Oreochromis niloticus: one gene and its partners. The protein of the gene in region 1 purifies or fractionates together with the protein of each later gene. This does not show direct contact. Links are inferred from orthologs where the notes say so. Each region holds a gene or a part of one and is shown in the gene's direction. Other genes may lie near its edges.

Region 1 (7,805 bases):
CTTTGTTGTATGCCCGGAGCCATACCGGAACAGTTTTTAGACCGTGGCAGGAGGAATTGTTAAACAATGTTTGATAAGCTGGCACAAAGCAGCAGCTTCTAGGGCTGAAAAATGAAGCAAACTTAGAGCTTCAAAAAATTGACGTAACTCAAATAGCCACTTTTACGGTGGCCCTGAGAGGTCAAACAAGCAACTGGAAAAACGCTGCAAAAGCTCACAAAACAGAATTTCAATAAAACACAATGGAAACAAAAAAAATGCTGCAAAGCTCACACCACAAATCAATCCCTCACATCACTGATGAAACTTCCTCTTCTCTTCATTACATGTGTTTCATTTAAACCCTACACATGTTTTGGTTTCTGTCACTTCTGCAGCTGTTCAGTCACATCATTGTTGCTGTAAAAATATTTTGTTGTGTTTTATTTAATTTCGGTTGTGTTTTGTGTGTTTTTGCAGTTTTTTATTTTCCATTTGCTGGTGTTTCCTTACATCACAGTACATTTGACCTCTCACTGCCACCACACCCTTGAGTCTGCCTACGAAATTGAGTCAATCTGTAGAGAACTTCTATTGGCTACTCCCTTTAGGGGTCGTCACAGCGACGCCATCTGCCACGTCACTCTACCCTAGCACCCTCCTCTGTCACTTTAACCCTGTCGTCTTTCACTACATCTTTGAGTGTTCTCTGTTAACTTCCTCTTTACCCCCAGCAGACAGCTCCATCTTCAACACTTTTTGTCAAGTATATCCACTATCTCCATAGCTTCATTCAAAAATACTGGTGCCCACCAATGCTAAACCTTTAGACACTGAGCAGATGCATCAATGGATGTATAAGTTTGAAAATCATATGCTATTTTCTGAAAGTTGACAACTGACCTTGCTATTAAAGTTAGTGTCACCAGGATTTAAACTCCCAGAGGTTTTCAGCAGATGCAAATACAGTATTGAATGACTTTTAAAATCCTACATCGCCTCACAAACTTGGGTATCCACACCACCTGCAATCAGCTCTCTGCTGGACCTCAATTTTGCTAATTTCAGTCAGAAAACCTCACCTGTTTTACATTATTTTTAATAAACACCTAATATGAACTCCTGTGCAGTTAAGTCCCCTAACAGACCATGTCCTTGTCCAAATATGGTTACTTCTGGCTCCAATATACCTCTGGCCAAAATACTAGAAGCCAAGGCCTTAAAACTAGACTCTGCAACCCAATGGGCACCGTGACTACATTCGTCTTTTATATACTGTATGTGAACGTCAAAGTGAAATACACACAAAGCCAAGATTTCCCAGCAGAACTGTGCATTTAACTAGATGCTCCAAATTATTCACTTCACCTGTCAGTGGTCCAAGTCACACAAAAGTACTAGTTAAATTCAAGAACATGCTATAAATATCCAAAGCACAGAAAGCACAAAACATACCTTGAGTGTTTAGATAATAGTGTTTCCAGAGGGGTCTGAGCTTGTGCTTCCCACCCACATCCCAGATGGTGAATTTTAGGTTCTTATATTCAACCGTCTCCACATTGAAACCTTGGACAAAGATTAAAAACAAGCTTTAATATAGGATAATATTAAAAAAAAAGACTTGCATTATCCTGACTCTAAAGTAACTCTGTGAACCATTAAACTGCAAGTGCATTCACCAATGGTTGGGATGGGCTGCATGAACTCGTCTTGCTTCAGCTTGAAGAGGATGGTGGTTTTTCCAGCGCCATCGAGCCCCAGAGTCACTACGCGGATCTCCATCTTTGGACCAATGTGGACCCTGTTGTCCTGAAAGGACATTTTCAATGTCATTACTACATTTATAGGAAAACCCAAGGCTTTTCCATTTTTTGTGACATACTTGGTTTACAGAAGCAAATTTCTATGAACAGCGACAGTATGTACCTTAGTGAAGGTGACTGGGATGCCAGCATCCAGCTGAATGTGATCTGCCAGCTCAGTGAACTGGTGTTGCTGCTTCTGAAGCGTCTCCAGCAAACAGTTGATCTCCTGCTTTGCCAGAACAACTCTGCAGTCGTCCTAAAGCACATAAGAAGCAACGCACATCACACCTTTAAAGGCATTACACAAGCATTTCCACAAATCACCACAGCTTTGATCTTAACTGGGGTGAGGAAAAAGAAGGAAACGAGTTCCTAAACTCCTCACATCTCCTACCTGCTGAAGTGTTTTCTCACAGTGCAGGCAGGCGGTGGACACCTGAGACAGCAGGATGGTCATATCCTCCTGCTGCTGCCTCAGCCAGATGAGCCTCTCCCTTACATGTGCATCCACCACGCTCAGCGCCATCTCCTCCTGTCGACACAGGGTCTCGTGCAGATCTGCAAAATAAGCTCGGACGCAGGAGCGGGCGCTCTCTGCTGTGCCGGGGACCTGAAGCACACACGGGAAAGATATAAGTGCCAAAACAGAAGCATGATCATTTGTATTTTATTAAGAAGCCCTTTGTCTTACATGTTCAGTGTGTGCCATGCCTACTCCATCCTCAACTATCTGCTCGCCACCTTCTATCTGCTGCACGATGCCCACCAACTTCCTCGAGTACTCGGACACCTCCTCTGTGAAGGTTCGGATACAGTGGGCCATGTCGAGAATGGATGCACGAATCTGATTGGCTTCAGTCTCAAGAACGGCATGCTGTTAGGGAAAATAGGGCAATATATAACCATATCTTTTTCAGTGACTATATCTAATATGGGAACAAGTTTTTCAGCTACCTTATGGCCCTGGTGCTTGCCATACTCCTTACATACACAGCACATGAGGGGCCCGGACTGACAAGCTTCCTCCAGGCAGACAAACTCGATGGCGTGGACCTGATGCTGTGGACACAGGGTCTTCTCATGGGGCTTATCGGCCAGTGGCACCCGCCGGTGTTTGGCCAGTGTTCGAGTGGAGTGGGTGAGCTGAGAGCACTCGCCACACAGGTGGGTGGCACACACGGTACAGTACATGGAGGCTGTGTGGCTCTCATCCTCATCGCAGCGAATTATACACTAGTTTAAAAAAAGATGGATTGAGGATAAAGCATGCAGAAGGTGTGAAGGTGACACATCTCTTATCAGTAAAATCATAGCTGCCTTACTTCTCCCATGCCTTTCAAGGCATCCTCTGCCATTCCTGACTGGTTAGTCGCTCCATTCTGGAGTCTCTCCAAGAGTTCAAGCAGAGCAAAGTTTTTCTTTAGACCCCAAACTCCAGAGTCCCCTAAGCAAATGTGAAGAAAGCAAACTCACTTTGAAAGGCAAATAATGCCAGCACTGTACAGCTCCATGCCCTCAAAAACAACTTTAGCCTCAACTGGATCACAGATTTCTGCAGCGAGAATAATGTTTTCTGTAATAAACACCCAATTTTTCACAACTTCTGGGTAAAAGTCTTTTGTTTTTAAGGGGCTGGCATGAAGTCAAATTAACAGAAACATGCAGATCACAGGATGTTGTTCTAAGGTTCTTAGTTGGTTTTGATAGCTCTTTTTATGCTCTTGTTTTTAGAAGAATGAGCAGTCTCAGGATTCAGCAACTGAATTTCACTTAATGATTTATATAGCAGGTATTACACATATGTGTCCGCTATATATACAATGCTGGAAAGCGTGATGACATCACTCACCCAGCTCAGTGACCTGCCTGTCAAAGGGGGCAGCGGACCGCTCTGCCATGGAGGGGCAACCGGGTTAGACAGTCATGGCACACCGTGTGGCCGCAGAGCAGAAGACGAGGGACCTTGTCCCCCCTGGAGAGAGAAGACATCCTCACAAACACCACATTCCAGCACCTGCAAATAAACATATACCAGTATTAAAGCACCCGATCACTGGGGCGTACAGATGCTTCTGGGTTACTGCAGAGAGATGCTCTATAAGGTCTCAGACAGAACAATAACTAGTCGGATGCAGTCATCTTGACCCGTAGCGTTACAGTTGAATAACACTTCTGATTTCTACTTTCAGTGATCTTTAAGTGAATGCATTGAAAGCAGTACGAAAAGCAGCTTCTGACACGGTCACACTCTGAGCTGGGCTCCCTCACAGAGGAACTGCAGCAGTGAAGCACAGCTAGCACAGACGCCAACTAGCGACAGAAGACCAGCCAGCTCATCTGCTAGCATGATGCAGGCACAAATACCAGCCATGTCAACGTGCACAAGTCTAAAGGTATAAAGCAGCGCTAAAAAAATGACCGTCTTGTGAAACAGTGTTTACACATGACTCTGTTCCGATTTATAAAATAAAGCTCTGACATCCTCCTGCCAACGACGCCAACGCAGCAGCATTCGCCCAAAATCAAAAGCGTCAGAGGCAAGCCTGATGTCGGTCATTCGCTCAACATAACAAAACAGCCAAACACCAGCGATCGACATGTAGTTTGATCCAAGATTGTAGTGACACCATTACAACCTTAACCGTGCTCCCATTAGCTCCTCTCCCGTGTCGGATACAGGGCTCCATCGTCGCTACGGCGCCCTGCTTGTTTATTCCTGCTGCAGCAGCGGCCATTCTTGGACGACAGCGCAGAGACCCGAGCAGGTTTGAGAGGACAATCCCCAGAAGCACTTCCGGTTTCGTTCTTTTTCGCTCTATTAGCATCTCTACTAGTATAGGCTACCGTGCCTATATATTTCCAGTGACTTATGTTCAATTTACGAAAAAAAACCCTGCCCAAATAAATACCTAAGGGCGTTTGAAAATAGCTGAGTAGCGGCAAGATTTCCCCCTGGAAAGACTTTTTAAATTAATATGGGGTTGTAAAACATGGATTTAAAATCTTAAATGAAGACGTGACGGACAACTGAATAATGTAACTTTTAAAAACCCACTTTTTTCTTGTATTTTATTTTTGCGTGCATTACGTATGAAAGGCAAGACAATGACGTATTTTTGGCGCGTCACGCTTGGCTCAAACAGAAGCAACTGAACGTTGGGCATTGCGCTCTTAATGGTAGGTATATTTTAATTTTGAGGAATCAGGCGTTTGCTGTGTTAATCATTTAGGTCTCATTGTGGTTATATTTTTGATAAATTTTGATATTTTTGATTCGGAGAGGAGGTTCAGTTACGCCGTGTTTCGCCGTGGGCGGGCAACAATCGTTTACGCTGTTTTTCTTTTGGTCATTGCATCTTATTTTACCTTCTTATTTAATCTAACCCCTCAGTTCATTAGTGATGTCTCAACAAGCACAACAAACGATTCCCTCCGCCCCTGACTCCCCTGCGCTGGTTGTCACATCTAACGTGCAGAAATATGCAATAAAGAAGAAGAAAGTCCTCAGCGCCGAAGAAATGGAGCTGTTCGAACTTACTCAGGCTGCAGGAATCACTGTGGATCAGGAAGTTTTTAAGTATGTTTAATAATAATCGGCCTTAACTGTGGTTTACATGGAGGAGAAGACCGTGGTTTTATGTCCTCACCCCCTTCCTCCTCCTCACAGAATCATAGTCGACTTGCTGAAGATGAATGTGGCTCCTCAAGCGGTCTTCCAGACTTTGAAGGCAATGTGTGCAGGACAGAGGGTAGCTGAAAGCTGTGGTGTAGACCCTTCAACTGGCACCCACACCACAAGCATGACCACAGCGCACACAGAAGCCAGAGGTTAGTATCTGAAGAATGGGATGTAATGCAACTGAAAGTATATGTATATTTTTCATTTAAATGTTGAATATCTTTCAGCGCACATAGTCTGGCTTCTTTTAACTAAGAAACATTGCAGAAATCAGGCTGGGAAGTTTTAGTCTCCCCATTTATACTGTCTTATCCTAGTCCGTTCATGTTTTCCCCCTCTGTTGGGTCCTCCTAACCCAACATTGGTCAGTCCAGGATGCAGCAGCCACAAACACTAGCTAGGATTTAGATATCCGTCCCCCCAGATCACAACTGACTGAGGAAAAGTGGGCTGTCATTTGTCACCTACAGTTTAACCCTCTGAAAGTCAGGAAAGTTTAGGATGTGTTTTGCTCTTTTTAATCATTATGGGTTCACTTTTTTTTACGGCAATATAAAACCCTGCACCTTTAAGGAAAGCCAAGGCTAGAAGGAGAAAGAACTCATCACTGTCTTTTGTAAAGTGTAGCATAGTTATGCCACAAATCTTTATTATGTTAACATAAATTATGTATGTAGTGTTTTTTTTAAAATCGATATATAAACTGTTATTGTATAAACTATCAAAATTCCCAGATCTCGGTCTAATCAAACATCTGTGAGATATGATAAGTCCGATCCATGGAGTCCCCACCTCACATCTTAAAGGACTTAAAGGATCTGTTGCTAACCTCTTGGTCCCAGATACCAAAGCACACCTCTAGGGCATCTAGTGGAGTCCATGTGGACCAACACAATATTAGGCAGTTGGTGATAATGTTATGCTTGAGTGGTGTATGAGCTGGTGGGAATGGAGAACATCAAAGGTCCAAGGATTAGGGAACATTAGGGAAGAACACTGGTCAGAGGGGGTCCTGAGACCAACCTACTTTCCAATGCAAACAAGCCCAGTTGTTGGTAACAGTAATTTCTGATAACAAAAAGCGTGTGTGTATGTGGCTACAGATTAGATTTTTGATGCAAAGACTCAGAATTTTAAATTTCTTTTTCTAACAATTTATGTTATATTCTTTCTTTGCTCTTCTCTTTGCTTTTTAAGTGTGTGAAATTATCACGTTCCCCCATTTAAGTTCTGTACACGCTGTAGCAGAGGTTCTGTGCCGCACTCTTCCCTTACCTGACCTCACTAACTAAATCCAATCTTCACTTCACCCCACACAGCACGGTTTTCCACATAAAAGGAGGGTATCTGAAGACAGGCATAGTCATGCAAACTCATCTACAAATCGCTCATCCTCACTGTGTTACAGGTTTTTCTGATTTCCTCTCTATCCCGGTCAGTTCTTTCTTTTCTTTCTTTTTTTCTGTGTGTCTTGTTTCCTGAAGAAGAGGACTCTTTGGCTTCTGGAAAGAGCCCTAAACCTGCCGCAGCTCCCCCCTCAGCAGCAGGCCCCAGAGCCACAAGGGTCAACACTAAGATTGTGGTCTACAGCCCCCAAGACACTAGTTCTCCTCACTCTCAAGGTCCCTTTTGCTGCACTCTCTCCTCCACCTTCATCTGCCCACTTGCTTGCCTTTCTCATTAACAAAAGTTGTATTTATGTGCAATTTGATATGGAGCAGGATTTGGGAAAAAAAAAACTGCATGCTGTGCTTTCTTTATATGTGCATGCATGCGATTGTGTGTGGACCGCAAAAATTGAATTTGCCCTTGGATGTTTTCATACTCAAGGAGATTTATTCACTGTGCAGTGGATTTTTTTCCCTTTGTTTTTAAGTGGCTAGAAAGTTAAAAAAGAAACTCTGAAGTACTTTTTTATTGATTCTTTTACACAAGAGTAGCTTGAATTTACAAGTTAAAAAAAAGAAGTCTTTTATGTTGCTGTGTGGTGATTAACCTGTCACCATATGAGTGGCGGCACAAAAGAAGGGGATCTTGACTTGGTTCATACAATATGCACTTATTGAGTTCTATTTTCAGGATTTCACTAAAGACTTACAGATTAATAATGATAGTCAAGTTTATAGTCTTCTACAGTATAAATGGTCAGAAACTTAAACTTGACAAATAAAGCAGAGAAAAGTGTGCGGGCACCAAGCTTTTTATGACTTTATAAATAACGTATTAAACATTTGACTTGCTAAGAACCCTAACCCTAAGCAACCCCAATGTCTTGATTTTGTATTTGTAAATGGTTACATCAGTTTAGTGATATATAATACAGAACTTTCACTTGAAGAAGC
Region 2 (7,708 bases), on another chromosome or scaffold:
CTAAACTTCCAAGCAAGCACCGAGTGTACTACGACGTAATGTGAAATTCACAGAGAAACTCGCGGATTCTTCCACTGACCGCTGCAGCACACCTGCACCAGGGTAAACCTCCGCCTACCCCAGTCCTGCTTTACAGGTGAAAATAGAGCAACAGGACCGCTAGTCTTTGATTTTATTTATTTTCTGCTGTGTTTTACTTGCATCTATTTGAAAGAGTGAGTGTAAACACAAAAAAATATTTTATTTTATGTGCTGGAATGTGCAGAAAATAGGTTTAAATGTTAAACAAATTTCTTCCAGTCAGAGAATGTTGCATATAATTTAATTTTTGCTTGATGCATAAAGTTAAAAGATTAAAACTAATAAAACAAGTTTTAAAAAGAGACTTTTCCATTTGATTACATTTTGTATGATGGATTATGCAGAAAAAGTAGAATTGGGCTGAAAGATCTATCGCTTTATCACCTATTCAGGTTGTAAATCGTGTTTTTAAAAAGTAACTAACTAAGTAACTAAGTAATTAATTACTTTTGAAAATAAGTAATCAGTAAATTAACGGGATTACTTTTTGGGGGAAGTAATCAGTAATTAGTAACTGATTACTTTTTTCAAGTAACTTGACCAACACTGGTAATGAGTAATCTAACTAATTACTATTCCTATCGTTACAACGGCGTTACAGTTACTAACAAGGAAACGCGGTCCGTTACTATTTTTCAACAAACAGACGGTTGAAGCTGTGTTCAGCTTACCGCATCTTATATCAGTTGCACGGAAGTAGCTGTAAGTAATCTGGACGCTACAGCTTTAAGCAGCTGCGCGCTCCCGCAGACGCTAATCACGATCACTGTCTAGCACAACACCTGGAGCTAAGGAGGCAAAACAATCGCATGAGTGCTGCTGTTTGACTGAGGAAGAATAAAGTAGTCATAAGTCAATCACATGACCACTTAAAGACAAAGCAACAAGGTGACAGTTTTTAAATTGTGTCGATAGGCCACGTAAAACCAGAGTCATGATAAACAATATATACGCGGCGTTTTTCCCTCAATAGTTTCGCCACGTTAGCGCTAGCAAGCACTCTCTGCTTATGAGCAAAAAAACAAAACAAAAAAAAGTTTTAGGAGTGACGGTGAGAGAAAGAGAGAGGGAGAGAGGGAGAGAGCAGGAAAAGAGAGAGAGCGAGTTTTGAGATGTGAGATTTGTGACGTTTAGCGTGTTTGGAGTGTGTAGTTAATGTGTTGTCTTGTGTAGTTAGTGTGTAGTGTTGTGGATAGTTTTGTGTTGTGTGTCAGAACAATGAGGCGACTGCTGTCTCCAGGTAGAAACAGGAGTGATACACCTGCTGCTGTCAGACCTGCAGGTATCAGGCTGTGATGTTCTCCTTTATAGTGGACAGAAATGATTTTTTTGGAGTGGCACAAATAATTTGTGTGGCATCTTATTGAAGAACAGCTGATTGTTCTTTAAATAGTTTGAAATGGTTATTTAAAAAAGGGGTAAAAAGTAAATGGATGCAAATAACTTTGTTGTTTGCAAAACTTGTGCATAGGATTTTAAAATTGACAATTAATATTTGCATTTGAAGTTATGAAATATGATTCATTAAACATGTTTATGGTTGTTACAGTAAAAATAACTTTTTCTACTGTGATTTTATGTTTTTTGTCTGATTTTAGATCAATTCTGGTTATACAGTATGACAAAATGAGAACATAACTGTAAATTCAGGCACGTGAGGTTGCGCTAAAAAGAATGATACCAAACAAGGCAAAGTAAATAGTTGTTAAAGGTAAAATGTGGAGAGAAAATCAAGAGTAGTAAAAAAAATGGCCAATTATACCCTGGACGCCAGGGGGTTAAACGTTCTTTGTTTTTGTTTTTTTAAGTAACGCAATAGTTACTTTTCCAAGTAATTAATTACTTTTAGAATATTGTAACTCAGTTACTAACTCAGTTACTTTTTTGAAGAAGTAACTAGTAACTATAATTGAATTACTATTTCAAAGTAACTTGCCCAACACTGGTTAACAAGAAAAACGCATATAAGAAAGTGGTGCGCAAAAGCAGGATAGTGACAGAATTGATGCGCATTATTGATATTTGAAGCATGTGTACCTGCACATGCATGCTTATTAACACACGGGTACTGTGGAATATATTTTTTACTCACCTAAAGTGCTCGTGCTCTCGTCCACTCCCCGCAAAAAAAAAATTAGCAGCTGTGCGGTGTCTGTGGCATCAGTGCTCGGATCGCATGCGATGGAGTAAAAATCAAAAGCACAGCTTTATCAGACAGTTGCAGTTTAATGTTGGCTGACAGTCTTCAGTGCGTGGCACAACTGTAGTTCTGGACATGCTGACATTGTTGAAGTCCTGCACTTTTTTCGGGCACATTATTTCGGTGACTTTAACGAGGCAGCGTTTTATGAGGTCTCCATCTGAAAAAGGCTTGCCATGTCTTGCGATGAGTTGGGCGACCTCATAGCTGCTATTGGAGCCTTTTCCTGGACAATTTGAGCACGAAAAAAATACTGTTGCTGACCCCGCATGATAGCTAGCATTTGCTTTAATTTCTGCTCTCGCTCAGCACCAGTGTAGGATGCATAGGCCTGATGTTTGGTTTCATAATGACGTCGTACATTATACTCTTTCATAACTGCCACAGTTTCAGTGCAGATCAAACAGACACACGTCCCCTTTAATTCTTTGAAGAAATATTCACTCCCCCCGTGTCTGAAATTTTCTGCATTCACTTTCTACCTTCTGCTTCTTTGGTTCTGCCATGTTTGGTAACTTGGGGTAAATTTCTTCTGTGATTGTCCTTTTTGGTAGAGCAACTGCCTTGATTAACAGTAGCTCCCCCTGGTGTTAAAACTAAGAAGTGCAATACACTCAAGCAAAAGTTGAAGTGCGGGCTATTTTCTATTCTATTTATAAAATTACTTGAGGGCCAATTAAAAATGGACCGCGGGCCAACGCCGGACTTTGGACACCCCTGTCCTAAACCGTTTATTCTGCACTGACCCCTTTCCAGGGCTGACTCTAGGATTTGGTGGTCCTAAACAAGATTTTACATGTAGCCCCAAAACTCTTTACGCACAGCACTTTGAGTGCACAGGTAGAATAGAAAAGTGCTATATAAGAACTAGTCCATTTACCATTTAGATCCACCAAATCATGCACACTGCAAAGACCCCAGTACATACCTCTGCAGATTCAGTTATGTCGGAGAAAGCTGTAGAAGCCTGTGGTGCCTCAGTAAAGTCCTCAGCTATGTTCGGGGAGGGAGTAGATGACTCTGAAGTTTTGGATGATGTCAGCAGTCATGTCAGCTGTGGTAGATGTGCTTGTTGCATCAGAAACTCCAAAATACTCCAGTAATGACCCTGAGAATTTTATACATTAGATTATTATTTTTATACACAGGGTGGATGAAATTAAATAGGCATATTACATGAATTAGGGCTATACTTTATACTTTCGTCATGTTTAACGATTAACTGATACTGTGAATGTAAGCGACAGCGATTTACAGCCCGAAAAGTTACATAAATATAAAATAATTCAGAATCATGTGATCTTTGCTTAAAGTGGTGATTATTAAGTGATTATTAAAGGCGACATGCTGCGTTTTTCCTCGAGTTTGATTGAGGAGAAATCATCCTTTCAGGACGGCCAGGTGAACCACGCCCTGACAGCGGCGATGAGGATGGTGATGAAGGAATATCTGATTCTGGTCACACAGCTGGAACACCGCCAGCAACAGAAGCTCTGGTTCTACATTCAGCCCACGATGCCCATGGTGGAGGAAGTCTCTTTGGTCGTGGATCTCCACTTCTGTGTGAAAGACGTACACACGATACCATGATATCTTAGTGAACTAGAGACCCTAATATTTGATGTACTTCCATTAGTTAAAGAATTAAACTGTTAGTGCGTTTATTAAAATAAATTATGTTTTCTGCTGTTTTCACATCATCATAAACAGTAGGTTGATTTATATTAATTTTTCACTAACAGATACTTAAACTAAGGCTAGTTCCTCTTATTTTATTTTAATTAGGTTTTTTTAGTTCACAAATTCTTTTCAATTAGTTTTAATTCTTTATCAGAAGTTTATCTTTATTTGTATTTTAGTTAACTAAAATTGTTTGGGTTCTTTTTTTTTACATCTAATTTTAGTTTTTTGTTTAGTTTTAGTTAACTATAATAACCTTGGTCAGCATCATAGTAGCTGCAGTTAATCTACAAACTTATACATAAGCAGACATCTACCCGGGTTCAAGTACAGTAACAAAAGCAGTATTGTGATTTTAGAGAAAATGCCTGTTTTATGATTGATAGATTTTTGCGAAATTGATTTTTAAAAGTAGTTATTATATTCCTTTTTGTATTACAATTCGACTTTCAGCCCCAGCATTAAGATATTATTACCTATTAACCTAATCTTATTTGAAATATTATTTTTGTGAGATTTTGAAACTTCTGCATTATCAATGTTGATTTTTTTCTCCTTGACAAACATGAATAAATTGCACAATACATTTCATAAGCAATACTTTGCACAAAAGAGCCAAAATGTTACAACTTTTAACTAATATATGTGAAATTATATTTAATTTATTTTTTTATTTGTCAGAATATTCAATATACACTCCGGTTTAAATAAATAAATAAATACATAATTTTCTGGCTATTTTTGTATGGTCAGGCGTCACAAGGTCACTGACCTGTAGGGGTCAGTGTGGCGCCGTCACTTCGCTGCTGGAGAAGAAGAAGAATTTGATAGTAGTGGGCGCGTTTGCTATCTGCCCCGGTAAACGCTGCAGAAAGGCGAGTGCCAGGTAGAGTGATGACTTCAGACTCTAGTTAAACCTGTAACAGGGCTTCATGTTACTGAGTTACGTTGTTATTTGCTTTTATGGCATTTCATGTTTCACTTGGCTCAGAGAGCTACTAGATAGCATCCCCCTGCTGTAGCAGGCTAACTAGCCAGCTAGCGTAAACAACTGTTAGCTCTGCATCACCACTGAAAGACAGGATGTCATAAACATACAGCCGTTAAACCCTCAACTAAGCTTCATCTGATGTTTGTCAGTGTGAGCCGGCAGCTCTGATGTTCATATCCATTGTGACCGCCTGAGCGAAATTCTTTCTCTTTATTTCTGCCCTCTCCTACAAAGTAAAACCTCTTTGTCGTTATGGCAGCTGCGGGAGCCATGAGCGAGTTCAGGATCCACCACGACGTGAACGAACTGCTCAGCCTACTTCATGTGCGAGGCGGCGACGGAGCAGAGGGCTACATAGACCTGCTCCAGAAACACAGGACCCCCTATGTCACCACCACAGTGTCCGCGCACAGTGCCAAGGTGGGCTATACTGTACTACACTGTGCTTCACTGCAGTGCTTTTCATGGCTCATCAGTTGATAATTTAGTTTTTAATTAGCATCTGTCCTCTTATCAGACACGCAGTCACACTACAGCAGACAAAGGCTCTCTCAGAAGGAGTGTTTTTCTGCACTTGGCACCATAGTAATGTTTGTTAACTCCTCCCAGAGACATTAATCTCGCAGTTAACTTTAGCAAAATCCCAAATGCATCATTATGACCGGCTGTCCTTCCAGATTGCACATGTACTAATGAGTACAGGGAGTTTGGTGAGGAGGCAGAAGGAGTACTTTAAGATTCTTATGAATGAAGAAAATGAGGAGAGAGGATGATGGGATAGATGGGGGACAGGTAGGAAATCAGGAAGTGCAGAGGATTAGTAAGGAGTAAGTGAAGGCGACAATGGATGGATCAAGAGTGAAAAGGCTCTTGGTTCAGATGACATACCTGACATACCAATGACAGAGTATTGAAGTTAATCTTGTAGAGTGAAAGGATGCCTGGGGAATGGAACGTATGGCTTCACACCAAGAAAGAGCAGTACAGATGGGATGCTTGTTTTGAGAATGTTGATGGAGAAGTGTAGAGAAGTTCAGAAAGAACTGAACTGTGTGTTTTTGTAGATCTAGAGAAAGTATATGATAAGGTACTAAGACAGGATTTGTGGTAATGCATGAGGAAGTCAGGATTAGTTGAGAAGTCTGTCAGGGATGTAATCCCACCCCCACCTTGAGCCCCTTTTCTTGTTTGCAGTGGCGATCACTTCCCTAACGCTAAAGTTTTATAACTTACTCTTAGTTAAACACCCAATGTTCGCAACAGATATGTTTCTTTGAATATTTTATTCATATTGCATGTTGTGTCACTTTCAGGTCAAGTTAGCAGAGTTTTCTAAAACCCCGGAGGATTTCTTGAGGAAATATGAGGAGCTTAAGTCCAAAAATGTTCGGAACCTCGACCCTTTGGTGTATCTGCTCTCCAAACTCTGTGAGGACAAAGAGGTAATGCCTCATTTACATGCTGCTTTTCATCTGGTTCTTTTTGTCATAGAGTCCAAATATTTCTATACTTCCTGGTCTAAAATCACAATTATTTCCTTATTATTAATGTTGAAAAGTAGTTTAAAAAATGTAATCTACTCCAGACACTGTACACAGCAAAAGTAAGAAATTTGCTGATTTATGTCCCTCCATCAGAGAGTTGGTTGATAAAATACTTGAATCTAATTTTGCATCCCTGTCTTGATATTGTTTTGCAGACCCTCCAGTTTCTGCAGCAGAATGCTAAAGAGAGGTCGGAGTCTTCAGCAAACACCACCTCAACCACGACAACCAGTTACTCTCTGCCTCAAACCAGCACCAAGATGTCCATGCAGGAGCTGGACGAGCTGCGTAAGAAGCTTGGCAATGTAACAGCGAGCTCCAACGCTCCTCTGGTGAGCATCTCTTACTCAGATGTTACTGATCTGAAGGTTAGATTAGCCTGTGAAACTCTACAGGACAGGTTGGAGCTAAAATAAGTTCAGCTAGAAACTTAATTAAGATAGGATGTATTTATTGGTCGATTTTATATATGGAAACAGATTCAGATAGTTTTTGTTCTTTTGGCTCTGTGTGATGTCAAAGAGAGCGCAAAGTTCCAACCACCTGCTGGTCAAATAATTTTTGAGGGGCAGTCACTCAGAGGAAAGTGGGTTTGAAGATGGGGGAGCTAAAACAGTTTGGTTCAAACAGTTAATGAGCTGGGAAGCTGCACAAAGGCCCAGTATAAGATAAAGAAGGCTTATTTTGGACTGTGAGTCATACAAGGCTGCTCTCTGGAGTACTACAATTAAGATGAGTTGGAGGTTCACAGAGATGGTCCTTTTTAAGTTTCAGAATATTTGTTCATAGAGCTATTCAGGTTTCTTTTTCTTAAAGTAGATCAGATCAGAGATGATGAATCTCAGGCTAATAAAGGGGATAAAAAGGATTAAAAAAGCTCTCATTCACATTAGATTCTCATTGTATTTCACATAGGAGTGATTAGACATGCAGATGATTTGTTTTTGGCCACTTGGGCTCAGCAGAAAGATCCTAACATCCTTTTTTCTGAATAAAAAGCTGCCTTGATCAATAGTTTAATCTAAAGGTTAGAAGGGTCAGTCTATTTCTATTGATAAATATTAAATTAAATTTCACTCGGTTTACCATCTGCTGCTTTTAAATCCTGAGTTTCTTTGTTTTTGGAATTCGCCTGCAGCCGGCTGAAGTCACACGGAAGATGCTGAGGGACAAACACAACAAGAAGAACCCCACCCAGCCCAACCCCGTCTT
Region 3 (7,858 bases), on another chromosome or scaffold:
GTAGTTTGCAAACATTATGTAATATAACATCTAGGTTTAAATCAACACTGACAAGTTTGTTAAGTTAACATTTTATCTATTTCAACTGTTAATTTGTCTAGTTTACTTGGTTTAACTCACCTGACTTACCTGTGTTCCAGGAGCAAAAGGACGAAGTGCTGCCTCACTTCCTGTATTTATAGCTTCCTGTTTAGTTTCTGATGTCACATCTAGGGACCAGGTGAAGAGGTGAAGCCTATTGTTTGGATAGCTTGAGTCTTTAAGTAGAAGAACTCGGGTGTTCGAGAGGAGAGGACCAGGTCAGTTTAGCTGAGTGCACTTGACATTAATTTTTGTTGGTTTAAGTTCAGTTATGTTTATTTGTACCAACTTAACTTTGGAGTTGAGTTTTTCTTCATGTTTGTAAAGATTTTTGGTCACAATGAGTGTGAATAAATCATTTTTTACCCTGGACAGCATATGTCTCCTGCCCTTCTTCAGCCACTTTGGCCAAAGCTATCTTACAGATAGGCTGAGTTAAATCTGGGACATATTAACAGACCGGGATCGTTATCTGACCATCAGAGCAAAGTGCAGCCGCTCACACAAGACGCTGCTGTGAACCATCAACGACACAATTAAAGTTTAATTCAATCAGCACGATCGAAACATGAAACACGCTTTAGTTCTTCTACAGAACCTCAAGTCCCTGACTCCTGCGTCCATAATATCTTTGTGACGGAAACACCAAATCAGGCTGCTGGGCACAGACGGAGCGTCTGCTCTGAATCCTCGCAGTCCTCGAGTTCTGCAGCGTTTGTTTTCCTACCTGTGCTTCAGCAAACTCACACTAACACATCACAGCATCACACACGCTCCAACAACCACACTACACGAACTACACAACACACCTAACGTCAGCGCTTCGGTTCTCCAGAGGTGGTATCTGTATCTGAGGCTGGCTGACAGCCCACCAATCAGGAGTCACGCTGCACACATCGAGTTTGTTCACATGAACTACAGACACACACACACACACACACACACACACACACACACACACACACACACACACACACACACGCACGGACAGAGACACACACAGACTTGACCCAGGCTTCGTTTAAATAGTCTGACCTCTGACCTTTGTGGTCGTGTTTTTAGTTTCCAATGTTTCCGCAACGTGGCGTCCATCGAGCCGAGGACACGACGTCATCAGCTCTGCACGCACACCGCTGCCTGCCGTTAACACGCAGACAACCTGCGAGAGAACTTCCTCCTGCACGGTTCATGCCATCAGTGGCAAGTTTAAGTTTCCTCTAACACCTGCTTCCTTTCTCAGCCCGATGATCTGCCTCCAGCCACACCTGAATCTTTAAATCTGCCCCACACACCCAGCAGCCTCGGACCTCTTTGCTTACTGTGAGCCTGATGATGTCACCATGTTACATCCTGTCTGTGTAGGCGTGTTTCCTGATGCAGGAACAGCTGTTAGACACTACACTGTGAACAGGTGAGTGCAGTCCTGATTGAGTTTTAATCATTGTTAAGCGCTGTAGATTGTATCGCAGTCACTGACGCGGCTTTAACCTGTAACTTTAGTGCGTACAGGTGATGTTACAGACTCACGGGTTTTACCCGCAGGCACAGATTCATCATCGACTCTCATGTTCACATCACCCACAACCATCCGGGTGGCGGGTCACCTGACTCTCATTTCTTTGAGTCTGGTTCAGTTTATTTTTTTCTCTCGTTTTGTTCACCTGACGAGGACTAGGACCCGCAGCTGCGCTCAACATTGGAGCGAGAGCTCCATCAGCGACTGTGACACAGCTAAACCACCTGCAAACATCTGCTTTTATAGAATATTACCATTTAGATTTTGAATCCGAATGATGTTGGTTTTGTGCTGCTTGGTGACACAGTTATGATCATTACTACCTGCTACTACCTTTTGTTTGCATTTTATGTCAGAAATAAAATTCCTCTGCATCCTGCCTCACTCGTGTCACTTCCTGTCATTAACTTGTCAGAGCATCTTCCTCCTCTGAGATAAACAAACCATTAACTTTGTTTTCTTAATCTAACTGGAGGAAGAACAGCTACATGACCTCAGCAGATTATTACAGCAGATTAATAATCCTCAGCAGATTATTGGCTGCTCTTCCTGGCACTGTGTGTGTGTTACAGAGTGTGTTTTTTATAGGGTGTGTTATAGTGTGTGTTTGTGTCTGTTACAGCATGCGTGTATCTATGTCTGGTACAGTGTGTGTGTGTGTGTGTGTGTGTGTGTCAGTTAGAGTGTATGTGTGTGGTGAGAGGGCTCAGTCTGGGGTTAAGTCATGTGACCTGCCATGTCATCAGCGTGGAGGCTGTGATGTATGAAAGTCTGAGTCTCTGTTTCACCTGCATTGTGATCCAAGCGGGTCAGGTCAGAGGTCACAGATCAGCAACATAAACAGACGCTTGTCCGCTTACCTCGGCCCACGGCTCCGTCATGACGCCGTGTCCTCCTCATGTGTCTTCTGGTAGCCCAGCTGCCTCATGACCTCGCCACAGGACGCCTCCACCTGACTGATCTGCTCCACGCTCAGCCGCTCCCTCCAGGCGTGGACAGCCTCCTTGGCGTCGCGGGAGGAGATGAGGAATGGTCTGTCGGAAGAGTAGCCGTGCCCGCGTGTCATATTGAGCGCAAAGCTCTCGAGCGCGGCGGAAGTGGGCAGGTCAGCGAAGCGCAACAGCCTGCGTAGCTGCTCGGCCGGCCGAAGCACCAGGTCCTCGTAGCGAAGGCGCAGGTAGCGGCTGCGCAGCCAGGGCGGTGCGCGCAGCTGCAGCAGCAGGTCGCGCAGCCAGCCGTCACAGATGAGCTCCAGCGCGCCCGACACGTAGCTCTCCGCGCGCGTCGCACGGTTCGCTGGCGCGAGCAACCGCTTGTACCTGTCGCTCTGTCTGCGGCTGCGTAGCACCTGGATGCTCTCCTTCACCAGAGCGTGCTTCGACTTCAGGCGCGAATTGTGCACGGCGCGCGGGTCCCGGAACAGCTGCACGACGCGCAGGTTCACACTGGGGTCCCGTATCAGCGGCACGAGCGTGCCCAGGTCCAGCACGCGCACACCTTTGATCACCATCACCGGGTACTTCCGACACTCGCGCTCCAGCTCTCGCAGTTCCCTGCGCGGGCACTGCGCACACAGCTCCTCCTTCACCAGCCCCACCTCGTGGCGCCGGTGGGCGCGGCACAGCGGCTCGGAGCACAGCACCTTGTTGTTCTTCCAGCCGAAGATGAAAGCGCTGCTCACGTTCTGCGCGCCCGCGTATAGCCGCAGCACCGAGAAGTCACAGCGGAAGAGCGCGCTCATCATGTCGCGCACGGCGCCCTGCAGGCTCTGCGCGTCCCCGGGGTACAGCGCCTGCCAGATGTGCCACATGGGCTCGTACAGGTAGAACACGTCCGGGTGCTGGTTGAACAGTTCGCCCAGGAAGGAGGAGCCGGTCCTCCAGGTGGCGTGCAGGTAGACGTGGATCCGTGGCTGGCTGCGGTTGGAGGAGGGCTCGGTCGCCGGCTCGCTGCCGTTGGGGCCGCCAGCGTCCTCCCACGGCAGCTCCAGCTCCGGGCAGCGGGGCTGGAGCTGCGCCGCCGGCCGGGTCGCCCGGTCCCGGGAGTCAAGCACGTAGGGCAGCAGCAGCAGCAGTCCGGTGTAGGCCAGGATAAGCAGCAGGTACTTCTTGTTCAGCCTCCTCTTCATCTCCGCGCAGGGTCGCTGCTATACGGAGTGTTAGCCACGCCCCCCGCCGCTTCGTCCGGGTAGAAATACCAGCACGGCCGTCTCACACCAGGACTGCTGCCGTCCACCGTCTCTGTCAGTTAAGAGTGCGGAGTGTGGGGGCGGGCCTTGTTGACGCCGACAACAGAGAGCATCGAAGGAAAGAGGCGTCCACCAAAAGCACCCGCCCCTGAGCGCGCTGAATTATGGGAGACCCAGTGTTTCAGAGCAGTCACAGCCAGCTGTGAGCGCTTTAAGCTTATAATAAAAAAAAAGCTTTTAGCTTATATTTTTTTTCTGCTAATAACATAGCTCATGGGTTCACAGAGGGCCCTAGCAAGTCTATAGCTGTAAAACAAAATTGCTATGAACATTTTTCTTCTGGAAACATAGTGTGTTAAGAATGTATAAATATTCGATTATAAAGAAATAAATATAGTCAAATCAAAAGTTATTTACAGGCTTTTATTTTCGTAAAATCTTGTATTGTACATATGTGAGCATAACCTGAGCATCTGCAGAGAATCATCACCATCACCACGGGGGCTTTTGACTGCGCTCCTCACCTGGTAAACAGGCGATATCAAGATAGCGCGTCCTCTCGTTGACCCGTAAACGAGCATTATCTGGGTCACTGCAAGAACTAAAACATGGACTTGTTGTCTAGAAGCACTTCCCTTGAGCGTATTTCAGTGCTTTTTGTTTACTAGTGCCCGTGCGCCCACTGCTGCTCATACGGATGCATTACCGCCATTTTCCTACATAGATTCACAGGAAGTGGAATATTCAGTTTTTGTCCTTTTTTTTGTACCGACTGAGAAACGAGGTTTAACAATTTAAAAACAGTAAAAAATAAAAACCGTAACTAATTTGAATTGTTTTTGCGCATGCTCAGTCCTATTTGTTTGTTATGGAGGTGGGGCTAAGACTGCGCGGTCCTGTAGGAATCAATGGAGGAGACGGCCGTTTGTCTATAATGGCGCATTTAAGACATCCCCGGTGCTGTTAGCCTGTTCGCGGGTGGAAACTGCGGGCTGGAAGCCGACCGAGAGGCCGCTTCGATCTGTGCCCGTTCACGGCGACTGCAGCCCGGCTGACAGCGTCAACATGGCGCACTGGAGCACCTTCGAAAAGGAGAGTGAGAGAGAGACGAGGCGGCTGATCAGGTGTCTCAGCGGGATCGAGGATGAGGAGGACCAGAACTTCCAGCTGGCGCTCAAATTCGCCTGGTCCAACTTTAAGTGAGTTTTTACGGGTGTGTGAGGGAGCAGGCTGCTGCACGCAGCGTACTAACATCCGCCTCGTGTCTCCTCAGGTTTCATCGATATCTGGACACAGACAGCCACAAAGTGGAGCGCAGTGTCAGCGGGTGAGTGACTCCTTCAAAACAGTGAAGTCTGAGCAAACTAAACATCCCATGTAGGCAAACCTTTAAAGGCGACTTCAGGATTTTCCACATAAAAACCTTGAAGAGGAACAATGTATGTTCTCCTTCAGGGCTCTGCATGTCCTTCTGTCCCAGCATCCTCCTCTGTCACTGCACCCTTCTGCATGTCCCCCTTCGCTCCATCCACCAACCTCCTCTGAGCTCTTCCTCTTCTCCTCCTGCCTGGCAGCTCCATCGTCATCCTCCGCTCTTCGTCTCCTGCTAAGTTATGGTATAGTGACAGTCTGTCGTGTTTTCCAGAATCTACGAGAAGCTCGTGGTGCACTCGGACCTACAGAAAGCAGAAAGCTGGATGAGACTGACTGAAGAATTCCTGAACTCACCTTTACCTAACACAGATGGGAAAAAGGTAGCGCACAGCTGTTTTCTGCTCTATCACAGACGGACACACGATCCATACTCATGTGCGACACCAGTCAGTGTTGGCATGCTGCATCATATTCTAGTATGAAACTTGTGAACAAGAGTCAGAGGGGATTTTGGAAGGATGAAGGTAATAAATGTAAACTTGCCATCAATAAACAATCACATTAGTCTTTTCAAGTCAAGTGGCCTTATTATCATTCCCACCATGTGTAGTGGTACAGTACACAGTGAAGCGAGACAGCATTCCTCCAAGACCATGGTGCTGCATATATCAGACAATCAACACAAGACTACATAAAGTGTGCAAAAAACCAAAACAAAGACAGAATGATACAGACACAACAGTGCAACAGAAAAGTGCACAGTAATAAAGTCTAATAAAGTATTTCTGTGTGCATAAAGTGTGCGCTTGTTTTCTGACAGATGACACAGGCCTAATGGCTTGGTATCACATGTTACACACACAGTTTTCTGGTGTGTAGGGCTCAAACACTGAAACGTGACTGCAATGATGTGAGAATATCTCAGTGAAATGTGATCTGTGTTTCCTCAGACCGATGCACACTACAGCATACTGTCACTGCTGCTCTGCCTGTCGGGATCCCCCTCAAACACAGACTTTACAGAGAGACCCAGACTAAAGGAGGCCGGTGAGAACCGCATTGTTCCCTTTATCTGTGACCAATGTGTCAACACATTCTGAAGTCATTAAATCTGCTTTTCTTATGTTGGAGTTAAAAACACACACTGTGCAAACAGAAGGTTTTTCACATATTCTTCCAAAGCAGGAAGAATTTTTTTCTCTCATTAAATATAGAACTTTTTAAACCAAAGCTTGGTTTTAGTGAATCCCACATTACAGATGCTAATGATGCTTTGACACCAGGATCAGACAAACAGATTCTAGTGAAGTCATCACAGTCGCACCCATGTTTCTGTTTCAGAGTCACAGTGAAAGCTTCAGCGGCAGGAAACCTGCCCACCGTGTTTCACTGCACAACATCAGTGCAGTGATTATAAGTTCACTTCATGTCAAAGCCCAGAAAGTTAAAAAAATGACTTGTTTCCAGATAACCTTAGCACTTAGCCTTGAAGGCTAAAAATCACACAGTTTATGTTAATCTTTCCGTCTTATGTCTGCAGAACCAGAGGACAAGTTTGACTGGGCTAAATATCTGATGGAGGGTGAGGACACAGACATGGGGCCGTACCCAGACACACCTGTGAGTCACCGATCCCACCTGTTTCTGATTCTCTGAGCAAAAACCCGACTGCCATGAGCTTTTAGATTATTATAGAAAATATAAACTGTTCTAAAAAGGTTTGTTCTGCAACATGAGCACCACACCACAGTCACATGACTTTAACATCATCACTAACTTGTGTTCACCGGCAAAAAAACAAAACTAATTTCTGACCCACAAGTACAAAGCCAGAAAAGCTCCAACAAAGTCAGACGCTGAAAAAAGATAAAGAAAGAATCAAACGTGAGCTTGTGTTGAATCTGACGGCAGCGTCACGTCTGTAAAGTAGGACAGATCTGTGCTTCCTCTCTGACATCACTCTGTGATGGTCTGTGAACTGAGGACAGCAGCTGCTCGGGTCTGATTGAGGATTCCGGCTGCTCGGCAGTTCCGGCTCTGCTTCATCCTGTTGTTGCTTTCACAACGCTCCAGATGTTGTCGGCCAGTCAGAGGTCTGGATTGCAGCCGGGCCAGACTCTTCTCTGAAGCCATGCTGATGATTCTGACCTGATATCACTTGTGGCTTCGTGTCAGCATGACGAAGCTGTAACCTGCATGTGTGGACAGCACGCCGAGCTGCTCGCAGACGCTGGTTTCTGGAAATGTTCCTGAGCCGTGCACTGATTTATCACAGAGCAGTGTTTCTGCTGAAGGTCACAGTCATCAGCCTGTGCACAGAGGTTCCTCCAGATCCTCCAAGTGTGCTGATGATGTCATGTTGTGTAGATGAGGAGATGTTCACAGTGAGGACCATGATTCTGAAACAGGTTGGTGAACCTCTGAGAAGCTCCGCCTCTCTGTCGCCAAATTCCCCATGAGCTCAGATTCGTCACGAAGCAGTAAAATGTCTCATTTTGAGTATTTACTGTTTTCTGTGCTCTAATGTGGATAAAATATGAGTTTATAGGATTTGCAGTGTTGGGAAATCAGTTTTACCCCGGTTCTTTTTCATTCCTCGGGCCTCCAGAGATGCACCGGGCCCAGTAGTCATTTTTACAAAATCTTTATTCATCTTCATTCATCTTTACTTATTCTTTATTCTTAACTCATTCTTTATT
Region 4 (7,960 bases), on another chromosome or scaffold:
GTGGCCTGTGTCCAGTGGAAAATAAATAAGAGCCCAGTCATGTGAATGCAGTCCACTCAGCTGTGTCGAAGAGGCCCGAAGCCTGCTTATATAAACAATAAGTTAATTTCAGCTGTGGGAGGAGGTCGAGCATGAATGTCACTCAAATCGCTGACGGCTCCTCAGCCGTGATCGTTTTACGATTTCTAATGAGCCACTGAGTCAGGAAGTGCAGCTGTGGATGAACTTGAGCTAATTAACGGTAACGAGAGGAAATACGTGACCCATGTCAGCTCATGGAGTCCAGATTTCTGTACTGTTCAGAAATCCTCAAAGTGAAATGAGATCATTAGGTTTAAGAGACCGTAACTAACACCCCTCGAGCTCTGGTGCTCACACAAAACACACTTAGCTTAGTTTCAATTTGGTTTATTTAAAAATATATAGAAACAGGAGCACTGGCGTAAACGTACAATGGAACAGTATAGATACTCACACTTTAACGCAACCCTGTTCAATTTCAACCGAGACTGCAAGAAAGAAACAAACACGTTACGGCAGCACTTTACCCTCAAACACATCAGAAACACACACGACGCGTCCAAACAAACATTCTTCATATTAACAACCAAATACTTCAAACTTTCTCTTTTTTAACATCAACTTATTTATAATAATATCAAAGAAAAGCAGTAGCATTTACAGTCAAACAGGTACTGTAGTTGGCAGAGTCTCCCTCAGTTTCTGTCTGAATAATAAAAAAAACAATCTTCAGTTAAGTCCGTGTGGACATGTTTTTGAATCACTGGGATGCCAGTTCCATGAAGAACTGGAAACCAGTAACCATGACTGTAACCAGGATTTCAGATTTAGTTTGTCTGAACTAAGACATAATCAACGCACTGTTTCTCCAAGCTAATCGAAAAATTAAGAATAATGTGATCAATTCAATAAGGTGCAGCCCTGCTCTCCTAATATGATATCACATATACTGTTACAGTGGGCGACACTCATATTAACAATAAAACCAGTGTTTAGAAAAACCAGGGAATGTGCAAGTAACACCGTGTGAGCCAAAAGCTGCCCGTTTTTCTCCTCTTGGCTCTGTGTGACATCAGCGAGAGCAGGCGTGGCTCTGTCAGACACACAGCACACTGATCATCCTGCTGTTCATGAAGGGCAGCCAATTAGAATACAGCTGGCTGAGAGGGAAAGGAGCTGAATCAGCTGGTTTCAGACAGGGGGAGGGGCTGAAACAAATAAGAATGACTGTGAATTATGTTACAGAATCTAAATATGGAGATGGGAATGAGCGTAAGAGGCCCCCCCTCTTTAAGTGCAGCTCACGACAGAATAGCAATGTCATTGCAACCCTTCACGAGTACGATTAAAGGAAAAGACTGACATTTATCACTGAAACAAGAAACAACTAAACTAAATGCAGACTGGTGCGCCACAGTCTGATGTTTTTTTAATATTCTCAGTAAGGAACAGTACATCATGTTTAGAAAAGAATCGTTACCCTGCCAGGTTATTGAAGCTGTAATTGTTGAGTCCGTGTGACTCACTTTGCTTGTACGTTGTGAGTTGGAACCTAAAAAACCAAAACCCAACTCCTACCAATCAAATAAAACCTCATGTACTCCTGTGTTACCCTCATGAAATCAGCAGATAAAAAGCTGTGACACAGGAATGAACTGAAGGGGGAACGAACTACTGGCCAAACTGCTTTTGTCATAAACAGTCACAAACAGTGTAATATTGCAGTTTTGCTCATTGGTGGCTGCTGGACTTTTAACCAGTGCCACAGGCGCTCACTCCACACACTTTGGTTCGCTGTTTGCTGTCTTTACAACTCAGATAATGGCTGAAAATATCAGGAGCAGTGGAGTGGGTTTGTTTTTTTTGCAGACTTGGGACTAGTTTTATTGTTCTGGTGATCGTGCACGCGTAAGATTATTAAGAAATGAAGGTATTGTGTGAAATGCACCATGACAGTTAATGCTCCAAGTTACCTAATATTCTCTGGGCTTAGCTACGATGGTCAGCTGCATAACAGTCTGGTCCCGACACAGGCGTGAACGCCTTCAGTAGCTCCACCCAGTCAAAGCTTCTACGATGAACTGTCTTCCAGCTGCTCGTCCTGAAAAGGGTAGCTGAGAGCAGGAGGAAAGCCCTGACTGCGGGGCTGTTCGTCCAACAGCATCAGATCATCCACGTCTTTCCCTTTGTACCTCCGCCGACAGATCTTTACAGTGACTTTCCGCCCCTGAAATACTTTAAGGGCTTCTTTGGAAGCCATGGCTCTGGCAGCGGCCTCGTCGCGCCCGTATCCTGTGCCCATGAAAACAGTCTGACAGCGAATTTCACACACGTGGCCTTCCTTCTGTGTGCGGCCCGCGGGGAGGCCCGTGATGTCCTTCAGCGGCACAAACACGCACGTCAGGGTTTGCTTGCACGACTCCACGCAGCTGCGAAGGATTTCAAAATGGTCCAAGTTGGGCCCAAAGCCCCCGGCTGACACCAGTTTCCACGCCACAGCCTTGTACAGGCGGTTGAAGAAGGGCTGGTGCTCTGCTGGAGCCTGTGGAGGTGGTCCCAGCTTCTGACTCGCAGGCCGCGCCGCCGTCCTGAGCGCAGGTCTGCTGTCGAGCTCATTAGGCCCAGCCTTGGCTCTTTTCACGCAGCTGTCATCCTCAAGCTCTGCAAAAGATGACACAGCAGGCAGGAAAACGTTGACTGCACAGGAATCTGTATTTAATGAGGAAACAGAGCCTCAGGTGTGCGTGTGTGAAAGGGAAAAAACCCTGTGCGTAGGTAATTACACTGAAACCTCACAGCAACAGAGAACAGCAGTGAAATGGATTTGTTGGTCAGTAACGAGCTACAGAAAACTGTCAAATCTATTCTTAGATTGAAGTCACATCACTTGTAAAAGCCATCCAAGGTAACCTTAACCTGTTATCATGGAGGATGAAACTAATGCAAATATTACTCTGTGTGTTCATATATGTCCGTGTTGACACGTCGGAGTGACAGGATCTCTTTTGCTTCTTAGCAAGCTTGACGAGGTTTGTGCATTATTAGCAAGCAGTGTTTGTTTTTTGCACTTAAAAACGCTGCAGCCCGTTCGTGACAGATCCTGCTCTGTGTGTGGCTTAGTCACAAACACACAACAGTCACAGCCCAGATTTAAAGTATTACAGATTTACTGCTGTTTGCATTCACAGCCGCTATCATGGATTGTTGAGTCAGGCTTGGTCGGGCTGCTCCGACTTTCTGAGTTGGAAATCTGACCTGAGGCGATGTTCCAGTGGAAAATTCAGAGTGGGAAGTCACTAATAGTATTTGAATCCAATGCAATCACAATGCACAATAGCATTTTAAGCATTGTTAACTGGGCTTTTTAAATGATATACACAATGGAAATGATTTCAACTACAGCCGGCACTTAAACGGTCCTTAAATGAAATTTATAGGAAAATCAACATGGCTGTATTATATTATCTTTGCGGGCTGTTTTTGATGATATCATCAGTACAGGTGTGTTAATGTCACCTGTCACCATTGGTTTCCTATGTATATATCACCCTGAATATTCCAGAGAAGGTAGAAGTATGAGACTACAGGCCAAACACTCAAAAATCAATTATTATGATTTTCTGTCGTTATCAAGCAGCAGCAGAAAAACCTGGACCCATTAAATAACAGGTAGTTTTCCCAAATGTAACCTGTGAAGATGAAATGTTAAACATGTGCACTGCTTACCAGCTGATGCGCTCCTCTTTCCTCTGGCTGTGAATTCATCTTTTGTTGTTTTGTGAACAGGAGGATCTTGGACTTTTATCCCTTCTCCCATCTCTTTGATCTTGTCCATTACAGCCTGTGGATAGCTGAGGGATTTAAAAGGTAACAATGAACTCTTATTATAGCGGAGAGCATCCACAGCTTGTCATTCTGCTCCATCAGCGTGTCCTACCTGCAGCCCAGGAAAACGTGATTAGCCCAGACCATGGACAAAGAGAGCAGCCTGTCCAGGCTGCTGCTGGAGACTCCTGGCTTCACTGTCGGGAAAGCCTCCATGTTCCTAAGGATGAACTCTCTCCGAGCGACCCACTGCTTGTTGCTCTCACAGTAGCTTCTGAATGTTTCCACCCATTGGGCCAGCTGCGGATTCTGGCCCAGGTACTCTGCAACCACGTCCTCTCCGCCACTCTCCCCCGCCATCCCTGCACTCAGACACGGTTTTACGGTTAGAAGAACAACAGAAAACTAGCAGCAGCTTATTTATTTGTTAGCGGTTAGCAGTGCTAGCGTGAATCATGCCACTTAAACTCAACAGGTCTGCGTTAGACGACGTAAAATGGCGGTGGCCCTACTAGTTTCAAACCGCTGGTGTTTTCCTGCTGACTTGCCTGAGAGCAGCCTAACGTTTGTTGTGTCAACTAGTAAATATACCAGAGTGGACCCAACAAACCGACTCCACGAACTAACGTTAGGACAAACGGCTAGTGGAATAACATTAGCTACAGCAGAAGACACGCTAACAGCAAAAACACAGACATAAACGAGAGTAACGGGATTGCCGTCGCTTGCACGGGAAATATAAAGTTAGTATTTTATACAGTAACTACGACATACCAAGCGCTCTCCGTTGCGATGTGCTTCAGCTAGTTACATGACCGAATGATGACGCCAGACTCGCGACGATATCTTAGTGCACAGGAAAAAAACTACAATTCCCATGAGCTGGCTTGTGTTTACGCATCTCGCAGAGCTAATTGAAACCCAAACGAAGCACGCGTGGAGTTGCTAAAGGCTCTTGTCGATTTTAAAAACAAATAACATCGCAAGCCTGACTCTTCCACTACCGTGGAGCGATGTCTCCGGCTCCTGCAGCACTCTTCCCGTGATGCTTTTCGCGCTCACGTAACAAATCTGCGACGGCTCGGGCGGCGGTTTGTTTTGGTGGCTGAATGGGAATCTCTCCGCTACAATTTGAATTTCAGACACTTTAAGTTTCATTGACATGATTCACGAGCTCTTACTGGCGCTGAGCGGATACCCGGGGACGATTTTTACATGGAACAAACGAACAGGTTTACAGGTAACACGGAAACACTGCAGTTCTCTGATACGATAACTTCACTCAGATGTTAGCTAATATGCATGTGGTTACAAGTCAAAGCTTGACAATTTATTACAATTCAATTATGCATAAGCTAAATTATTAGCTTTGGTAGCACTATATTAAAGATATGCATTTTTGCTAGGATAGCTTACTGACAATTGGCAGGTTTGAATACTGCAAGATGAAACGTCACTCACCTGCCTTTTTATTAGGTACCCCTGTTCGTTTACGCAAGTATCAGCCAATCGCATTACTGCAAATCTGTGCATTTAGGCATGTCTGTGAAGGTTCTCAGTCATTCAGGTCATCGTAGTCTAAGGATCTTGGATAGAAAAGCGTCTGGACTTAAACTTTAAGTTGCTTGAAGACGTTTCACCTCTCAGTAGAGAAGCTTCTTCAGTTCTAGGGTCAAATGGTGGAGAGTCCCAGATTTAAGCTCTTTGGGAGTAACCCCTCCAAAGAGGGACAAAAGGACCCCCTGATGATCCTCTACCTAATCACATGAGCCAAGGTGGGTCCCAATCAGCCAGGGTTTCGGGTGAGCTCATTGTGAAACCTGGCCCCACCCTATCATGTGATTTCCTGAGGTCAGATGGCCCAGGATGTGAGTGGGCGTTAAGGCGTGTGGGAAGGATCTCAAAACTGGATTATAGATGGCAGACAGTTGGTGTCGTAAACCACCGCCTCTGTTCAAAGATGGTCGCTCACAGTGGACATAAATCATCTGTCCTCGCTGTCCAAAATGTGAACATTGGCGCCTCGAAAGAGTGACCTTTGACCTTTAGATGCAGATGGACTGCTGAGTCTTGTCCCGTGGAGGTGGCTCTTCTATGTTGTGCGCTTGTGAAGTGGCTGTTTGGTCTCTCCAGTATAGAGGTCTGGGCATTCCTCACTACAATGTACAGCATACACCACATTGTTCAGTCTGTGTTTTGGAGTTTTGTCTTTGGGATGAACCAGTTTGTGTCTGAGTGTGTTGCTGGGTCTAAGGTAAACTGGGATGTTGTGCTTGGAGAAAACTCTCCTGAGTTTCTCTGATACACCGGCTACATGTTGGATGACAATGTTGTTGCGTCTGTCTTTCTTATCCTCCCTCGCTGGTGTCTGATCTTCTTTTCTGTGCCTCTTTGCTGACTTGATAAACGCCCAGTTAGGATAACCGCATGTTTTCAGTGCTTCCTTTACATGTGTGTGTTCCTTCTTTTTCCCTTCAGGCTTAGAGGGAACATGTTCTGCCCGGTGGTGTAGGGTCCTAATTACTCCAAGTTTGTGTTCCAGAGGGTGGTGGGAGTCAAAGAGGAGGTACTGGTCCGTGTGTGTGGGCTTCCAGTAAACTTCAGTGTTGAGGTTTCCATTCCCTTCAGTGCGCACGGCACGGTCACATGGAACATGGAAGTGGAAGAAGAGGCTCTTGGCTCTTTTAAAAGGAGAGCACCTAGCCACTGGTAAAGATATGTGGACAACACCTGGGTCAAAATCAAAACACAAGAAGTGGAATCCTTCACTGCTCACATCAACGCTGTGGATAAAAACATAAAGTTCACCAGGGAAGACACAAAGGATAACTGTTTGCCATTCCTGGACTGTGCTGTGCACATTGAAGAGAATGGCAACCTCAACATCGAAGTTTACTGGAAGCCCACACACACAGACCCCTCCTCGATTCAGAGATGGTCTTTCCCTTTTCATGTAAATGGCCTTGTTGACTCTGCGCTCAAACCAGCGTTCCTCCCTGTCCAGGATGTGTACATCCTCATCACTGGCCTGTAGGCGTAAATAGTCCTGGCCTGATGATCTGCCATCCTCTTCGCCAGAGGTTGTTTGGTTTCCCTGATGTATAAATCCTGGCAATCCTCCTGGTGCTTAACACGATCCCCAAAGGAGATCTGTGTTATACTGATTTTATGTTAGAAACCAGAGAAAGGCTTTTTGTGTTTTTAAGCTCTGCTCTCATTGAAATAATTACCAACATTACTTACTTCCCTTCTTCCTTTTGCTGCAACATTGTCTTTCATTGCTGTTATTTACATGTAAACTCGTCTGTTTTGTATCCATGTGTTTGGTGCTTTTTGCAGTTAAAATTTACAAGTGGGTGAATGGGTGTGGTATTTTTTCAAAAGGTCTATTCAAATGAATATTCCAGCTGTAAGCAGGACAGTGTGTGGGAGCGCCATTTGATTTGATTTGATGTCTTTTATGAAAGGCAAAGAAGGAACATCTTGTACACATCTCATTCTGTGTGTTTAGAAAACAGATGTGTTCTAATAAAAGTGTGAGATGGAGAGTGTGCCTGTTGTGTGTCAGAGCTAAGCTGACATAACTCTGTCTTTCTTTTATGGTGTAAGCAGTTATAAAAGTGTAATACAGACAAATGTCTTGACTATATTTAAATAGAAGTATCAGAAAAAATGTTAGCAGTCTTTGTTTTACAGCTTCATATATAGATGTCCTAATACATGCTCAATCATCCAGGTAAGTAAATCTCCAAAAGTTGATTCTGTTCATCTGGACGTAGCGGTGAATGGTACTCATGGCAATTGATCAGTGGTTGTTGATCAATGGTCATGAGAATTTGCATAATCATGATGAAGGTGACCTCCCAGCCCATTGTTCCTTCAGTGGGCTGGTTTCAGTCATTATGCAAATGTACTGTTTATAAGATTGGGGAAACCTGCAGTCAGCTGAGACTGAAGACGTCACCTGGATGAGTGACGAAACGTTTCTTCCACTGAAAACGTCCAGATGAACAGAATCAGCTTTTGGAGAATCATATGGTAGTGAGTTGTGGCTGAAATATTCAGTGTATAATTCATTTATTAGGCAAGTTTCAAAGATAATCATTAGGGGTAA

The links.
Region 2: the proteins of mzt2b (region 1) and tubgcp2 purify together in Homo sapiens (affinity purification with mass spectrometry; 5 studies listed by BioGRID and IntAct, counting the BioPlex papers as one, with this or other methods). This does not show direct contact. The link is inferred for Oreochromis niloticus from reciprocal best matches to the Homo sapiens genes MZT2B and TUBGCP2.
Region 3: the proteins of mzt2b (region 1) and tubgcp5 purify together in Homo sapiens (affinity purification with mass spectrometry; 3 studies listed by BioGRID and IntAct, counting the BioPlex papers as one, with this or other methods). This does not show direct contact. The link is inferred for Oreochromis niloticus from reciprocal best matches to the Homo sapiens genes MZT2B and TUBGCP5.
Region 4: the proteins of mzt2b (region 1) and tubgcp4 purify together in Homo sapiens (affinity purification with mass spectrometry; 3 studies listed by BioGRID and IntAct, counting the BioPlex papers as one, with this or other methods). This does not show direct contact. The link is inferred for Oreochromis niloticus from reciprocal best matches to the Homo sapiens genes MZT2B and TUBGCP4.

Annotation. Positions count from the first base shown.
Region 1 is NC_031972.2:12,028,105-12,035,909, forward strand, and holds the start of mzt2b (mitotic-spindle organizing protein 2), read left to right. Parts: upstream 1-4,804; 5' UTR 4,805-4,958; coding exon of another isoform or gene 4,959-4,961; intron 4,962-5,175; 5' UTR 5,176-5,185; coding exon 5,186-5,361; intron 5,362-5,451; coding exon 5,452-5,612; intron 5,613-6,947; coding exon 6,948-7,085; intron 7,086-7,805. UniProt on the Homo sapiens protein: Required for the recruitment and the assembly of the gamma-tubulin ring complex (gTuRC) at the centrosome.
Region 2 is NC_031973.2:4,932,661-4,940,368, reverse strand, and holds the start of tubgcp2 (gamma-tubulin complex component 2), read left to right. Parts: upstream 1-4,694; 5' UTR 4,695-4,847; intron 4,848-5,211; 5' UTR 5,212-5,222; coding exon 5,223-5,372; intron 5,373-6,265; coding exon 6,266-6,394; intron 6,395-6,651; coding exon 6,652-6,828; intron 6,829-7,634; coding exon 7,635-7,708. UniProt on the Homo sapiens protein: Component of the gamma-tubulin ring complex (gTuRC) which mediates microtubule nucleation.
Region 3 is NC_031986.2:35,924,592-35,932,449, forward strand, and holds the start of tubgcp5 (gamma-tubulin complex component 5), read left to right. Parts: upstream 1-4,850; coding exon 4,851-4,984; intron 4,985-5,058; coding exon 5,059-5,112; intron 5,113-5,430; coding exon 5,431-5,539; intron 5,540-6,109; coding exon 6,110-6,206; intron 6,207-6,699; coding exon 6,700-6,779; intron 6,780-7,858. Other genes in the region: chst7 (carbohydrate sulfotransferase 7), read right to left, coding at 2,475-3,725. UniProt on the Homo sapiens protein: Component of the gamma-tubulin ring complex (gTuRC) which mediates microtubule nucleation.
Region 4 is NC_031965.2:1,219,091-1,227,050, reverse strand, and holds the start of tubgcp4 (gamma-tubulin complex component 4), read left to right. Parts: upstream 1-5,008; coding exon 5,009-5,086; intron 5,087-7,960. Other genes in the region: cdkn2aip (CDKN2A-interacting protein), read right to left, coding at 2,093-2,682, 3,748-3,872, 3,959-4,208, 4,851-5,010. UniProt on the Homo sapiens protein: Component of the gamma-tubulin ring complex (gTuRC) which mediates microtubule nucleation.